4 linked regions of the Coturnix japonica genome follow. The protein of the gene in region 1 interacts with the protein of each later gene in a biochemical or structural test. Links are inferred from orthologs where the notes say so. Each region holds a gene or a part of one and is shown in the gene's direction. Other genes may lie near its edges.

Region 1 (3,500 bases):
GAACTGTTTAATATTATGATGAAGTTGGTGGCTCTTAGAAGACTGCAGTGTTGTGAGAATGATGCAGCAGGAGTGAAATGAATTGAAGTAACAATGAAGAGAATTAGAATCTCTTCAGATGGGATATTTTGTGAGATTGAGGTTCTCAGGGCAAAAAAGAACATTTAATGCCTATGAAAAATGGGGTAACCTCTAGATTGCTAATGCAATGTGTTCGTGCCAGCTCGTATTACTGCACTGTTTCCTTATGCTCTTGTCTGTCTCTTGCTTTCTCTCCTGACACTCATTTGAACTGTGAGCACTTTTTGGCAGTGTCTGGGCTTTTTCTAACAAAACAGGACACTGACACTAAGGGTCAGAAATAGTGAAGTACCGTGGGGAGCCTGGGAAGAGGCAGGAAGCAGAAGGGAAAACATTTTGATTCAGGACCCCTGAATCTGCAGAGTGATTTGTGTTCAGGGTCTCAGTGCCCTGAAGACCAAGTTTGGGCGTACATGCTCAGTGGCCTAAAGTAAAGAGAAGAAAAGCTTTCAGCCCATGGCAAGCTTTCTGATAGTTCTGTAAAGTGTAAAATTTCAGGGGTGTCCATGCAGTCTGTATCTGCAGTCAGCCTCGCTCCGTTAGCTGATGAATTGCTCCTCATTCAATTTAGGAGAAACACAAAGCATTGGAAACTGGGGAGACAAATCCCAGGGAAAGAACTGTTGAGCAAGATCTTTCACGTCTTGGGGTCTGGATGAGGGGAGGCTTGAATGTCTTTTTGGTTTTGTTGTACCTTGCTCTGTGGTTTGAACTCAGACTGAGTTTCATTTAACTGGTGCTGTTGTATTATAAGAAATGTACTTGTATAGACACAGCAATAACAATAAATGTGGGTTACAAAGATACTTTAGTTGGATTTGGATGTGGTTGTTTGTTGTGGTTTTTTTTCCCCCGTAGTTTTTTTTTTGTATAGTTTAAAAATCCTTATTCCTCACTTCAGTCCATAGTAGTTATTCTGAATGGCTGCAGCAATATCTGAACTGTCCAAATGAAATTTCTTCATATTTAAGGGGTATTGCAGTGGTTACTTTTGCTATTAATGTAATAAGTCAGAGAGTGCATTTTCTTTGAGAAAAATGCAAGGGGTAGAAGATTTTCACTTTAAAAATCGGGAGGTAATTTTAATGTGATCTGATGTAAAACATAGTTTTAAGACCTAGCAAGAAACATAATGAAAAATCTATATTCCTGTAATGCTTTATGCAGGGTTTCAGAGATGAAACACCTTTTAAAGAAGAAACTGACGATGAACCAATTTTGGACTTGGGAAGGTCATTTCAGCTTTCTCAAAATGACAGCGGATATGAGAAGGAGTCCTGGGAGATGTGTGAATTCTGGAAGCCCAGAACGGAAGAAGGGGATGAAGAAAGGGAAATGTTGGTGGATGAGTATGAAGAAGATGTAGACTTCCTGAAATATAGCTCATCAGACAGACAGGAAGCATCTTCAGAGAAGAACCTGAGTACAGAATGGGCAGAACAACTTAAGACAGATAAAATACAAGACTTGAGATCCAGTGCTAACTTAAGTCCAAAGCAGCCCCTGGAATATATGTTCAGTAAGGAGCAGATGGTAAGTAATGCTGTGTGTGTCTCAGTGCTGTACCCTGATGGTAGGGACCTGTATTCCTTAAGGCAAATTTCAGACCTAAATTCTGTAATCAGTCTGTCTTGTGCTTTAATTACTAGTTCAGATCTGAGCACCTCTAATGGACACTGGTCTATCTTTTAGTACGTTTTGGAAGGCTCTGTTTTGTTACACGGTGACTGTACATTTGCTTGGGTGAGGTACATCCTCTGGTTGGTGTATTTATAGCTATCCTATACTTCCGTCCTCTTTCCCATCTGTGATATCTGGACTGCCTTCTTTGCTGCAAGTTCTACTTATTTGATATGTTTCAGTAATAACCAAAGTCAGGTCATGCTGGGGCCTCCAGCAGCAATGTCAGTGAAATGAACTCCCTCTTTTCCTCATTATTTTTAATCTCAGTCAGCTCCTAGAACCAGATGGTAGTGCAGCTTAGGTACTTACAGTAGTGTTGTTGTCCATTATGTGAATAGGTAGCTATGTAGTTGAGAAAATGTGAATGTTTGATGTAAAATTAACATTCATGTCAGATACTTGTATGTAAGTTGATACTGTTGCTTTCTAATTTCACTTTTTTCTCCTCCTGAAGTATGAAGAAAATGCTAATAGAACTTCACAATCTTCTGGAACCACTGCACATGGTGACTGCCAGAAAGGCCTACTGGATATTGGAGCTACCCAGTCAGGATCAAGAAACAAAATGGATTTAGGTTTGTGAGAAGTTTTTCCTATTTTTTCTTTATGTGTTGTAACTTTGTACTTATAAATTTAACTCCATGCATGGTCTACTTTATTTTCTCTGTCAGCTTCTGTGCATTTCCAATGATGTCTGGCTTTAAATCAGATGTGAACCTTTCCAGTTTCCATACTGTCTCAGGGCAGTGAGATTGTTGTCCCTGTGTGTGAGAGCTTTGCCCTGTGGGTTTATACCTGTCTTCTGGTCTCACTGGATGAGCTCTTACCTTCTCCAGGCTGCCTCAGTGAGAAACTCAGTCAAAGCATATGAGTGGTAATGGACACACCAGAATGAATGAAGTGACATCTTGGAGGGAGAAGAGTTTGGAGGTGGATTTTTTGACAAGCATTTGCTTTACATCGAATCTGGGTTGCTGCAGTTTCATTACACAAGTATACATAATTCAGGGTACCTCTTCAAGGCCAAATGAATTTCATCCCCCCCCAAAGTCAGTGATTAGAAATTGGTATGTTATCAGTGAAATAGTTTATCAGCCTGCTTGTGATAGTGCTCATTTACTGGGAGAAAGGGGTTCTTTCCATTCTTTGTCACCTGCATCTTGTACAACAGACTAATGACTCTAGCAAGGAGCTCTAGTGATTTAATTAGTGTTGATATTTATGGCACTGAAATGACATCAGTCATCCATGCTGGATCAGGGCTTTGTACAGCTCTCCTTGCATGAAGGATGGATTCAGTACTTCTAATCATGTTTTTGTGAGAAACATATGCCATGTGAGTTGTAGCTATGCATGTCTCGATTCCAATAAGATTTGGCATTTTCTCTTATTGCGTGACTGCAGGTCAGAGGCAAGGTGTTATTAAAGATAAATAAATCAGCATGCTTTAAATTTCCTTCACAAATAAATATTCTGTATCTCTGAGCTTCTTGATCATCTCTCACCATTCACATCTGGAACATGGTTGTGCTGGGGGGTTTATTTCCAAAGGTGATAGGTAGATGCAGAGACAGAGGAAGCAAAAGTTTACATCTGAGCCTTTACTTCATCAGGTACAAAGCTTCAGATGGACTCCGAAGTACCTGGTCTCGCTGTTGACCTGGAAGGTGTTGAAAAGGAAGAAGGGGAGGATTATATGTTTTCCAAGAATGAAAAATCTGTGAGAATTACCACCT
Region 2 (3,500 bases), on another chromosome or scaffold:
AATTGTAACACCTTTATTTCTGCTCCCTGGTTTAATGGTTCAGTATCAGTACTGCTATCTGCCTGTGAGTGGTGACGCACTGTTCACAGGTTGCCCAAGGAGGCTGTGGATGCCCCATCCCTGCAGGCATTCAAGGCCAGGCTGGATGTGGCTCTGGGCAGCCTGGGCTGCTGGTTGGTGACCCTGCACACAGCAGGGGGTTGGAGCTGGGTGAGCACTGTGGGCCTTTGCAACCCAGGCCATGCTGTGATTCTGTGAAAATTAAACCATCAAGCCTGCCTTCTCTGATTGTGTTTGGCAGTTTGAGAAGCTGTGTTATTAGGCCTTTTAGATAAGTAATGTTACTCCAGTTTAACAGATTATCCACTTCAGAACCAGGCCACAGATGCTGTATGAGTTTGAAAACCATCATGCATATTAACACAGGTAGGCCATTTTCTTTTGAGGTGTACTTCAGATCTAATTTTCTTTCTCAGCAACTGTAACAAGCTCATCAGAAAATGATGATCGTAGTGGATCCAGTTTGGAATGGAGCAAGGATGGGAGTCTCAGAGCTGGAGCACACCGAGGAATTGGTCACGATCGAAGAACTGACAATTGTTCACCGGTTGCAGAAGAGGAGGCTGTTGGATCTGCTGAGAATGTGCCGAAGGAAGTACCAACAGGAGAGGGTCCTGTTCCTTACTCTCAGAGTTCTGGATCTTTAATAATGCCTCGTCCAAACTCTGTTGCAGGTGAATACTGAGATACAAAAAGGATTTTTTGTCAGTGATGTGACATCTCTGTTTAATCTTTCAGTTGAAGTTATGTTGTTAGTATGGAAGTATTTTTATTGGACAAAGAAGCATAAGTTCTAAGCTAAATAGATGCATATTACATGAATTGCCTCAAGTGCTGTGAAATCGATAAATGCTTGGACAAGTGCATCTGACTTGAGCTCCATTAGCAGTACCCAACAAATTCAGTAACAGGATGTTTGCTTACATAACTATGACCCTGCAAACAAAATCATCGGATGAAGTGTTGAGAAATGTGGGTACCATATATGTGACGCTAGATTTAGTTAACAGCTAACAGAAAGTTAGAAGTTAAGTAGTAAACACAGAGTGAAGAAAACCAGTGGAGAGGTTAGAGGGTTTGGTTATTGGTGTTCAGAAGGAAGAGAGAAAGATACTGTACTTGATTCCAGCTAGAAACTGTTTTCTGTAGAAGGGACTATTTTTAGCTTAAAAGATGGAACAAAAATTGCTGCATGGATTTTTCTTAGTGTGTCAAGTTGTGTGAGGGAAGTACAGTTGGTAAACCAACTTCTAAAACTATGAATGGCAATATTTTGGCTCTAGCAACTTGGGCAGGAATTTTGAACTTCTGATAATGCCACTTGAAACTATTCAGGAGTTACAGTGTCACTTTAAATTCAGCTGGCCAAGTTTTGAATCAAAGACATAAGCTGGTGAGAAAAGCATACTTGGCTGAAGAACACCACACTTTCACAGAGCATTTCAGGGGGTCAGTAGTACAGGAATAAGAGATCTCTCCACATAGAGGAACTGCTAGCTTGTATTTTATTCCCACTCCCTATCCCCCCACCCCCCAAAAATATATATATCATGTAATAAAAATAAACTTAATGATCTTCAATTTCTTAATTCTGTAGCAACAAGTTCTACCAAACTAGAAGATCTGAGTTATTTGGATGGACAAAGAAATACTCCTTTACGCACTTCAATTCGCTTACCTTGGCACAACACTGCTGGTGGAAGAGTGCAGCAGGAAAACAAAGGTAGGCACATTTACATCTGTAACTGTCTTTGCACAGTCACACTGCTGTTAGTGATTCTGTAATACATACGATATTTTAGAGTACTCCTGACAGATCACAGATACTGTTTGAAAGTAATGTGCCTGTTCATACTCTTTGCTGTGTAGTGCTGTGATTTAGAGACAAAATGTATGGCTTTTAATGGTAAATCAGTATCTTGTTTACCTAAATGCTTATAAGTAGTGCTGTGTAGATGATGTGAATGTCCATAGTGAAGTTATGTGATACCAATGACAGCTTTCCTGTCTGCCATATTTTACCAACTCGTGATACTCAGTTAACCACCCACTGCAATTTAACAGACAATTCAGTGAGTGGATTAAAGGCCTTCAGAGACTGTCATTAGAGTTCTGGTGTTGGAAAAAAAAACTGATCTAATACCACTAAGCCTGTTGGTGACAAAAATAGGCTTTAATATTTCTGATATTTGAAAAACACTATTGGTATTGGCAATTTACATATTTATTGATTACAGCTGAATGTTTGTGTAAATTTCATCAGTGAATATTACTGCTTTTGTAGACTTCAGTGTATTAAAAAAAAATTCTCTTATAAATCTTGTCATGTGTTTACCAAGCATGTCGATTAATGTTATCAAGCATGACTATGATTCTAGCTGTGTATAGAGTACATTCTTTTCTTGTAGCTTCAAAGAGACTGAAGAAGTGAGTAATATTATTTTTATGTTACTTAAAAAATTCTTTATTTAAAACTAGAAAAAAATTATCTGCCTTTTTCTATTCCTCTGTAGATGTTTTTACAGCTTTAAAGACATGATACTGAAATGCTCAGTAGGGTGGATCATGTTAAATTGAAAGATGTTTGGTACTTTTTATTTTATAGAATTATTGATGACTTTTTAAGAAAAGCCATGTTCAAACATACACGTATACTTATAGGACATTTTTAAACTCATTCAGAGTTTACTTCACATAAGAATTATGGAGGTGACCCAAACTGAGCAAATGTTTTTTTCTTGTTTCCATTATGGAAGCCTTAGAAGAATTCTTGTTGTGAACATGATCAAAAATGTCACTGAACAAAATGATCTTCTGAGACAATGCTGTTTTATTGCATGTCTGGTTTCTTCTAATAAACTTTTCTCCCTGCCACTTCTTCTCAGCACGTTTTGTCACCTATAAGCCTCAAGACATTTTGCTAAAGCCATTACTGTTTGAAGTGCCAAGCATAACGACAGACTCGGTGTTTGTTGGAAGAGAATGGCTGTTTCAGGCAATTGAAGAAAAACTGAAGAATACGGGCCTGGCAGAAAGCAGAGGAACAGTTATTACTGGGAATGTGGGATTTGGGAAGACTGCTATTATTTCTCGTCTGGTGGCACTTAGCTGCCATGGAAGTCGCATGAGGCAAATAGCTTCAAACAGTCCTAATTCATCCCCCCAGAGTAAGTCCCTTCTGCGAATAATTGTTTGGGTTATTGTACTGACAAGAATAATCAGAACATTGCTTGCTGTTCTGACCTAATTTAGCAGGGCTTACAGAATCCTTTGAGTTGGAAGCGACCTTTAAAGGCCATCTGGTCTAACTCCCCTGCAGTGAACGGGGACACCTACAGCTAGATCAGGTTGCTTAAAGCCCTGCCCAGCCTGAGCTTCATTGTCTCCAGGGATAGGGCATCCACTGCCTCTGTAAATGCAGTAAATGCATTATTTTCATG
Region 3 (3,500 bases), on another chromosome or scaffold:
CTTGGACTGCACTCCTAGCTGTGCAAACTACTTCAGGTTAAACTCAGAGACCTTTGTTGTGTACCAGCTGTGATGGATGCATGGTAGTGGTGCTGTAGGTTTGTGCTGTGCTGACCGATGGATTTTCAGGTGCTCTGTTGTACCACGTAGGCTTAAATCATGCCCTGCAAGTGCTCACAGACCTACAGAATGCATTGGTGTGGGCCGCACACCTGGGAATGGGTTATAGTGCTAAAAGAGTACATGTCACATATTGCTAAGTAACCTATGTCAGGGACAGCTCTGCCTTAGTCACAGCGTGCTCCTGGGAGCTTGCTCCTGTGATTACCCAGCCCTGTTTGCTCCCAGGTTTGTATATGAAATGGCATGCTGTTCAAACAAGCCCAGTTTGCCAGGCAGTAAAGGCTCTGGCTAATTTTACTGGTGCTTGCTCTTCATTGTTCAGTCACCTCAAAGTCATTAGCAATGACTTAGTTTCTAAAATTGGTTTTCTTTCATTATTTGTAAAATCAGAGTTCTGTAGCAAATACATACATGATTACTGTGCCATCAGATGAGTTAATATAAAGCCAAATCCTAGGTAAGGAAATAAATCTGTCTGCTGAGAGCCCAGGCCAGGATGATCCTTGCCAGTGGGAGGCATCACCCTCTGCTCCAACTCCTCAAAACCAAAAGGGGTTCCTAAAACCTTCTGTATTGAGTCTTAAATAGTTAAGGCCAAAAAGTTGTTCACTTTTCCAGGGAAAAATCCTCTTTCTGTGGCAGTAGTGATTTTATTTTAATCTTCTGGGACTCTCTTCCATTTAAAGTCTAAATCAGCATGGAGGTATTTGTACAAAAGACAGGTTTTGGAGGTGTTGAGCAATAAAGGGCCCCCTGCTGCCTGCTGTGGCACTATTCATATGTATGGTACTATTCATATTAAAACACGGCTAAATGCTTTGTCAAGGAAGGGCCCAAATCTGAATACTTCTTTTGATAAACAGATATGTCCTTCCCATTGAGATTCAAATATTCAGGGAACAAAAGATGTCTGAGGGTAATTCCCAGGTCATTTCCTGCATACCGTGTTAACCCGTGCATGTTAGAGGAGACTGAGAGAGTCCTTTGACTTTCATGCATAACAGTCCTAGAGCTTAAAACTAGAATCTCTCTTCTTTGTTGTGTCCCGGTATACCACAACAAAGTGAATTATAGAATCAGTAGGCTTGGAGAAGACCACTAAGATTATCAGTTCATCTCCCCCATGTCACCATACTACTAAATCATGGCACTCATGACTACCTCTACCCTTTTCTTGAAAACCGCTAGGGATGATGACTCTACCAGCTCCACCATGATTACTGAACCCTAGGAATCTGAGTTTCTGTGCTCTTGCTTTGTATCTTGAGTTGTCTTTGTGATAACACAAACCCTGATGTCTTGCAGGCAGTCTGCAGGCCACACGAGCCTTGATGGTGGCCTCCATACTCCTGGGCCTGGTTGGTATTTTTGTTGCTGTGATTGGCATGAAATGCATGAAATGCATGGAGGATGACCCAACGAGGAAGATGAGGATGGCGGTCTTTGGTGGGGTGATCTTCATCATTGCAGGTCAGTAACATTACAGTTATTAAATAACAGATTGTTGTTACTCCAGGTGCTAATTCTGCTGCATACTTCTATTGTGACTTTTTTGTTGACTGTTTTGTTCTTAATAGTAAACATGGCATTTTGTTCCTTCTGTGTGCAGGTCTGGCAGCACTGGTGGCCACGTCATGGTATGGCAACAGAGTGGCTCGGGCCTTCTATGACCCTTTCACTCCTGTTAACACCAGGTACTAACCCATTTGATATCACATTATAATGCAGCTTCGCAAATGTTCATTGGGTATAGTTTTGGGTGGTGGCACAGAACACAGAAGGGATTAACAGCTCTTGCTCTTCCTTGTTTCTCCCCAGATTTGAATTTGGATCAGCCCTCTTCATTGGCTGGGCAGCTGCTTCTCTGGCTTTGCTTGGGGGGATCTTCCTCTGCTGCTCCTGCCCACCGAGTGAAACCTCCTACCCACCCAGCCGAGGTTACCCCAAAAATTCCCCCTCCACAGGGAAGGATTACGTATAATGAAATGACGAAGAGGAGCCACCAGCAGTGGTAGTAAAAGCATTTGAAGAGGACACTACAATGCCGCTGTCCTGAGCTGAGTTCAGACTCTTAGGTTTTGCCTTCCTCTTCTCCCAGAAATGTGTATATTTTTATAATCCTCTTTGCTACTGGACGTAACTTCTCCTTTCTCTCCCAGCCCGTGGAGGAAGGCTAGCCTAAGCTTGTAGGTATTGCCACTGGAAAGATTGAAGCCTCCAAGCTTGGGTTAAGTTTAGTATTTGGGAGTTAAAAGGGAAAATGTTTTTAGATGGATGTTGGTGCTTTTTTTTTTTTTTTTTTAGTTTTTTTATTAAAAATAGATGGTAACAATTCAGTCCCCATATCCCATTAAGTTAGAGCCCAGCGTGGTGTGTGTAGAAATCAAAGAAACACTATATACAAAAAGAAGACCAATAGCTTAAGGGGAAAACATAATCTGGGGGAAGTGACTTTACAGGTAGGAATGTTTGAAGAGATCTAAACTGTTTTTATACTGTTACTGGTGTCATCTTCAGCACCTTTCTGTGCAAAGGGTCAGATAAAATTAAATTGCTGTGACTTAAACTAAATTCTGTTACTATATGCATGTGCTGTTGGCCAACAGAAGATGTAGTGTAAGACAGCCCAGCTTAACTGTTTCATCTTTTCACGAGATCAGTTACGATGATTGTGTATTGGCCAAGGGCTGTAACATTACAGCTACAACTGCTAGCAAACTCCCAAGCAACTGCAGGTCTCCCTGGTGCCAGGGAAGAGATAGACAGAAACAATCCCCTGTTCTCACTGTTGTCTCTGGGGCTATTGTGTTGTTCCTTAGATGCTGTTGCTGGTGGTTATTTCTTGATATTCTTAGCCTGACTGAGCTCAAAGCTATATCCCCTTGTCTGTTACAGGTCACCTTTTAACAAGTGTTACCCTCTTTCCTTGAGTCATTCCAGTTTGGGCTTAGTTATAAATTACTGATTTGTTTGCCTTATGTGGCTAAAAAATGTTAAACCAAACAATGCACTGCCACTCCCTGATGTTTCCCCATGGATACCTCTTGTACTGTCATTTGACCCTATCTTTACTCTTGCAAATACTTTCAGTCACGATATGAAGGCAAATTCCAAGGAAACTGACCCAGAGGTTATAGCATTTTCTTTCAATCCAAGCTCACCAAAGAGGGAAGAAACCCAGCATTGTAAAGATAAAGCCATCACTGCGTATTAAGTCCTTTATGAAAACGCAGCTCATGGGTTTCCCTGAAACCAGTCTGTCACTAGTGTCTGACCAGCATTGGTGAGGCTGGCTGGAGATTAGTCTGGTGTTCCTAAGAGGGTGATACCAGCTTCCCAAGGCACCGCTTTGATTTAACTAAGGATGGAAGTTGGTT
Region 4 (3,500 bases), on another chromosome or scaffold:
TGTCCCCACTCCCACCAGCTCTCCCCATGTCTCAGTGGTCTGGGGAAGAGGCACACAGCCATCGGCACCTCCTGGACCAGCTCTCCTTCCTTGCAGACACATTGGAAGCCATGGAACAGGATGGCCACCACAGCCCCCGCAGCAGAACCACTGCCCGAGCTGCCCCCAACGATGGGTGCGTCGCTGCAAGAGGTGGTGGGAAGGGCTGAGCCCTGGGGCTGCTCCAGGGCTGGGGGCTCAGCATTGGTGACCATCATTGTGTTACCACCAGGCCTCCCCCGGGCAGGTACAGTCCTGACTCCAGAGTGGTGCAGTTTGTGAAGGCCAGGAGCGTGGGGCTGCGGCTGGCTGGTGGGAACGACGTGGGCATCTTTGTGTCGGGTGTGCAGGAGGGGAGCCCAGCCGACAGCCAGGGCATCGAGGAAGGGGACCAGATCCTGCAGGTACCTGGAAGTGGGAGTGGCACTGAATGATTTAGTGCCTGGCTTGTCCCTGTCCCTCCCATGCCAAATACTCCTCATACTGTTTCGATTTCTCCCACTGAGCATCATTTTGAGGCAGTGCTGGTAGGGGATGGTCCTGTTCCCAGCATTATGCTAGCAGGGGTCAGTTAGTCCTCCTGCTCCTTGGGCCCCCCGGGGCCCTGAGACCATGCTGGAGCCCCTGCCTTCCATCCCACTGGTGGGACACATCTGAGTACTTTCCCACACAGGTGAACGGCACCAGTTTCCAGAACCTGACCCGTGAGGAGGCAGTGCAGTTCCTTATGAAGCTCCCACCGGGTGAGGACGTCACACTGCGGATCCAGAGCAAGCAGGACAGTGAGTGATGGCTGGTGACTTCCTGGGCTCATGTCTCTCCGTCTCTTCTGAGTGAGCATTGGGCTGCTCAGCTCCTCACAACTCTTTTCTGCCCCACAATGTGGTCCTTCTTCCCCACACCGTCCTCCCCTTCCCCTGGGAGCTGATGGGAGCGCACTGGATGATCCTGGAGTGCCATTTGTGGCATCCAGAAGCAGGGGGGTTTTTGGCTCTGTGGATCAACTTGAATTGGCCACTGTGTGCTGTAGGGCCAAGTCCTGCTGTCCTCAGTGTGCCCAGGAGCACCACACATAAATAAGGTGTCCCCAGGGTCCCCCTTGGCCAGCACAGCACCTTCCTTTACCCCTAATTCCTCCTCTACCCACTGTTCCCTGATGGTCACTCTCACCCCGGGCTCCAGTTTACAGAAAGATGATCTCATCCAATGTGGGCGATTCCTTCTACATTCGGACGCATTTTGACTACGAGAAGGACACGCCTTCAGGGCTCAGCTTTGTCCGTGGGGACGTCTTCCATGTGCTGGACACCATGTACCGAGGGAAGCTGGGGAGCTGGCTGGCTGTGCGCATGGGCAGGGACCTGCAGGAGCAGGAGAAGGGCATCATCCCCAACCAGAGCAGGTAGGGAAAGAGCCAGGGGATGGCTCCCTAGTGATACAGGGATGTGGGTGGTGGGCCCAGTAAGAGCTGGGTAAGGGCTGATGGGTGATGGTGGGAAGCGTGAGCTGATGTAATACCTGCCTGGTGCCTGGGCTGGGGTTGATGATGCTGTGGTTGACGGAGGTCCTGGAGGGGCTTCCCAGCCTGAATCAGCCCTGTCACCAAGTGGGCACCCCAACTCCTGCCCAGCTCCTTGAATGGAAGGAGCAAATCCAAGGCTGCAGATCCTGAGCCCTTTCCCTTCCCAGGGCTGAGCAGTTTGCCAGCCTGGAGTCTGTGCTGAAAGCCACGCCTGGCGCCAACCCCTCGGGGGCACGGGCTGAGTTCTGGAAGCTGCGGGGTCTGCGGGGAGCCAAGAAGACGCTGCGGAAGAGCCGCGAGGATCTGTCTGCCCTCACAAAGCAGGGCCACTACCCCCCATATGAGAGGGTGGTTCTGAAGGAAGGTGGGTATCAGGCTGCCTGGACCCACCCAGGGTCCTCAGCCCTGGGGCTGTCCCTGCGCCCAGCCCCCCTGAGCTGCTCTGTCTTCTTCCCCCAGCCAGTTTCAAGCGGCCGGTGGTGATCCTGGGCCCCATCACAGACATTGCCATGCAGAAACTGAGCACGGAACAGCCTGAGCTCTTTGAGATTGCACGTAAGTGCCCTCCACAGTGTGATGAATTACACTTAGCAGCTGGACATTGGTGTAGATGATCGTGGGAGCTTTTTACTCAGTCCTGATCCTTCCTTGTGACCCCTCCATGACACCCCAGCACCCTCTTGGACTCAGGAACCCCTTCCCCCCCCACACCGTGAGGCAAGGCAGGTCCCACACAGCCCCCATTGAGGCACACGGCTCTGGGACCCAGCATGGCCAGACCTACACAGGTGGCACATCTGCCCCAGCCCCTCTCTGACCCTGTCTCTGTGTCCTGCAGCGAGTGTGCCACGAGATGGGGCGTCATCCAAGGTCATCAAGCTGGATTCAGTGCGGCAGATTGCTGAAAGGGTGAGAGCTTGCAAAACCTTCCTGTGTGCTGGGATGGGAGCCGGGTGGGGGACCCTGTCTGCAGCAGGGCTGAGTGCTGCTGCCCTGCCCCAGGACAAGCACGCACTGCTGGACATCACGCCATCAGCGGTGGAGCGCCTCAACTACGTGCAGTACTACCCCGTGGTGGTGTTCTGTGAGCCCGAGAGCCGGCAGGGCATCAAGGCCATGCGCCAGTGGCTGGCACCTGACTCCAGGAAGAGCTCCCGGCGCCTCTACGCCCAGGCCAGCAAGATGAAGAAGTACTGCAGCCACCTCTTCACCGCCACCATCAGCCTCAGCGGCAGCGGCAACTCCTGGTACGAGGAGATCAAGGGCATCGTCAGGACTCAGCAGAGCCAACCCATCTGGACGGCGGTGGAGCATGTATGGGGCAGAAAGGCTGAGCCCTGCAGGGGCTGCACAGGGCTGCGTCTGCCCTCTGTGCCCAGACACCGAGGTGCCCATTGTCCCTTCCCACAGGTGGATGCAGCGCTGGGGGACAGCCTGGACCTGCTGAACCCGCCGAGCAGGGCAGCCTCGGGTTACCTGACCTGCGACAGTCAAGCCAACAGCGACTACGACGACACGGATGGGGAGGGGGGTGCCTACACCGACGGTGAGGCAGAGGACACCTACAACCATCCTGCGCTTTCCCGCTCCTCTGAGCCAGCGCAGACGTACCCCAGTCACAGTGTGAGCCAGCAGGTGGGTCCCCCAAAGCAGGACGGGGGGCACGGGGGGGGCACAGGGCTGAATTCCTAACCCTCGTGGCAGAAGGGCTGTCACCTCTGATGTCTGCAGGTCCAGTGTTAGTGCCTTGCCCACCCATTGCCCCAGGGGATCACAGCCCAGTCCCAGCTGGAGCACAATTCCTGCTGCCCCCCTCTCATACCTGTCTGTTTTCACAGGTGACAGAGCAGCAGCCGCAGGGACAGTGGGCACAGGAGCACCTGAGGTACCTGCGTGCTGCTCAGCTCTGCACAGCTCTGCTCAGCTCTGCACAGCCTGG

Evidence for each region.
Region 2: the proteins of PATJ (region 1) and TANC1 interact in a test that uses a peptide from one of them, tested with the Homo sapiens proteins (2 studies listed by IntAct, with this or other methods). The link is inferred for Coturnix japonica from reciprocal best matches to the Homo sapiens genes PATJ and TANC1.
Region 3: the proteins of PATJ (region 1) and CLDN1 form a complex in vitro, tested with the Homo sapiens proteins (2 studies listed by BioGRID and IntAct, with this or other methods). The link is inferred for Coturnix japonica from reciprocal best matches to the Homo sapiens genes PATJ and CLDN1.
Region 4: the proteins of PATJ (region 1) and TJP3 form a complex in vitro, tested with the Homo sapiens proteins (2 studies listed by BioGRID and IntAct, with this or other methods). The link is inferred for Coturnix japonica from reciprocal best matches to the Homo sapiens genes PATJ and TJP3.

The regions. Positions count from the first base shown.
Region 1 is NC_029523.1:24,599,854-24,603,353, forward strand, and holds part of PATJ (inaD-like protein), read left to right. Parts: intron 1-1,248; coding exon 1,249-1,614; intron 1,615-2,218; coding exon 2,219-2,339; intron 2,340-3,377; coding exon 3,378-3,500.
Region 2 is NC_029522.1:33,276,658-33,280,157, forward strand, and holds part of TANC1 (protein TANC1), read left to right. Parts: intron 1-476; coding exon 477-734; intron 735-1,657; coding exon 1,658-1,783; intron 1,784-2,945; coding exon 2,946-3,227; intron 3,228-3,500. UniProt on the Homo sapiens protein: May be a scaffold component in the postsynaptic density.
Region 3 is NC_029524.1:12,071,444-12,074,943, forward strand, and holds part of CLDN1 (claudin-1), read left to right. Parts: intron 1-1,428; coding exon 1,429-1,593; intron 1,594-1,732; coding exon 1,733-1,817; intron 1,818-1,941; coding exon 1,942-2,104; 3' UTR 2,105-3,500.
Region 4 is NC_029543.1:434,416-437,915, reverse strand, and holds part of TJP3 (tight junction protein ZO-3), read left to right. Parts: intron 1-96; coding exon 97-175; intron 176-271; coding exon 272-443; intron 444-712; coding exon 713-821; intron 822-1,221; coding exon 1,222-1,441; intron 1,442-1,728; coding exon 1,729-1,925; intron 1,926-2,020; coding exon 2,021-2,116; intron 2,117-2,399; coding exon 2,400-2,470; intron 2,471-2,563; coding exon 2,564-2,875; intron 2,876-2,971; coding exon 2,972-3,196; intron 3,197-3,399; coding exon 3,400-3,446; intron 3,447-3,500. UniProt on the Homo sapiens protein: TJP1, TJP2, and TJP3 are closely related scaffolding proteins that link tight junction (TJ) transmembrane proteins such as claudins, junctional adhesion molecules, and occludin to the actin cytoskeleton.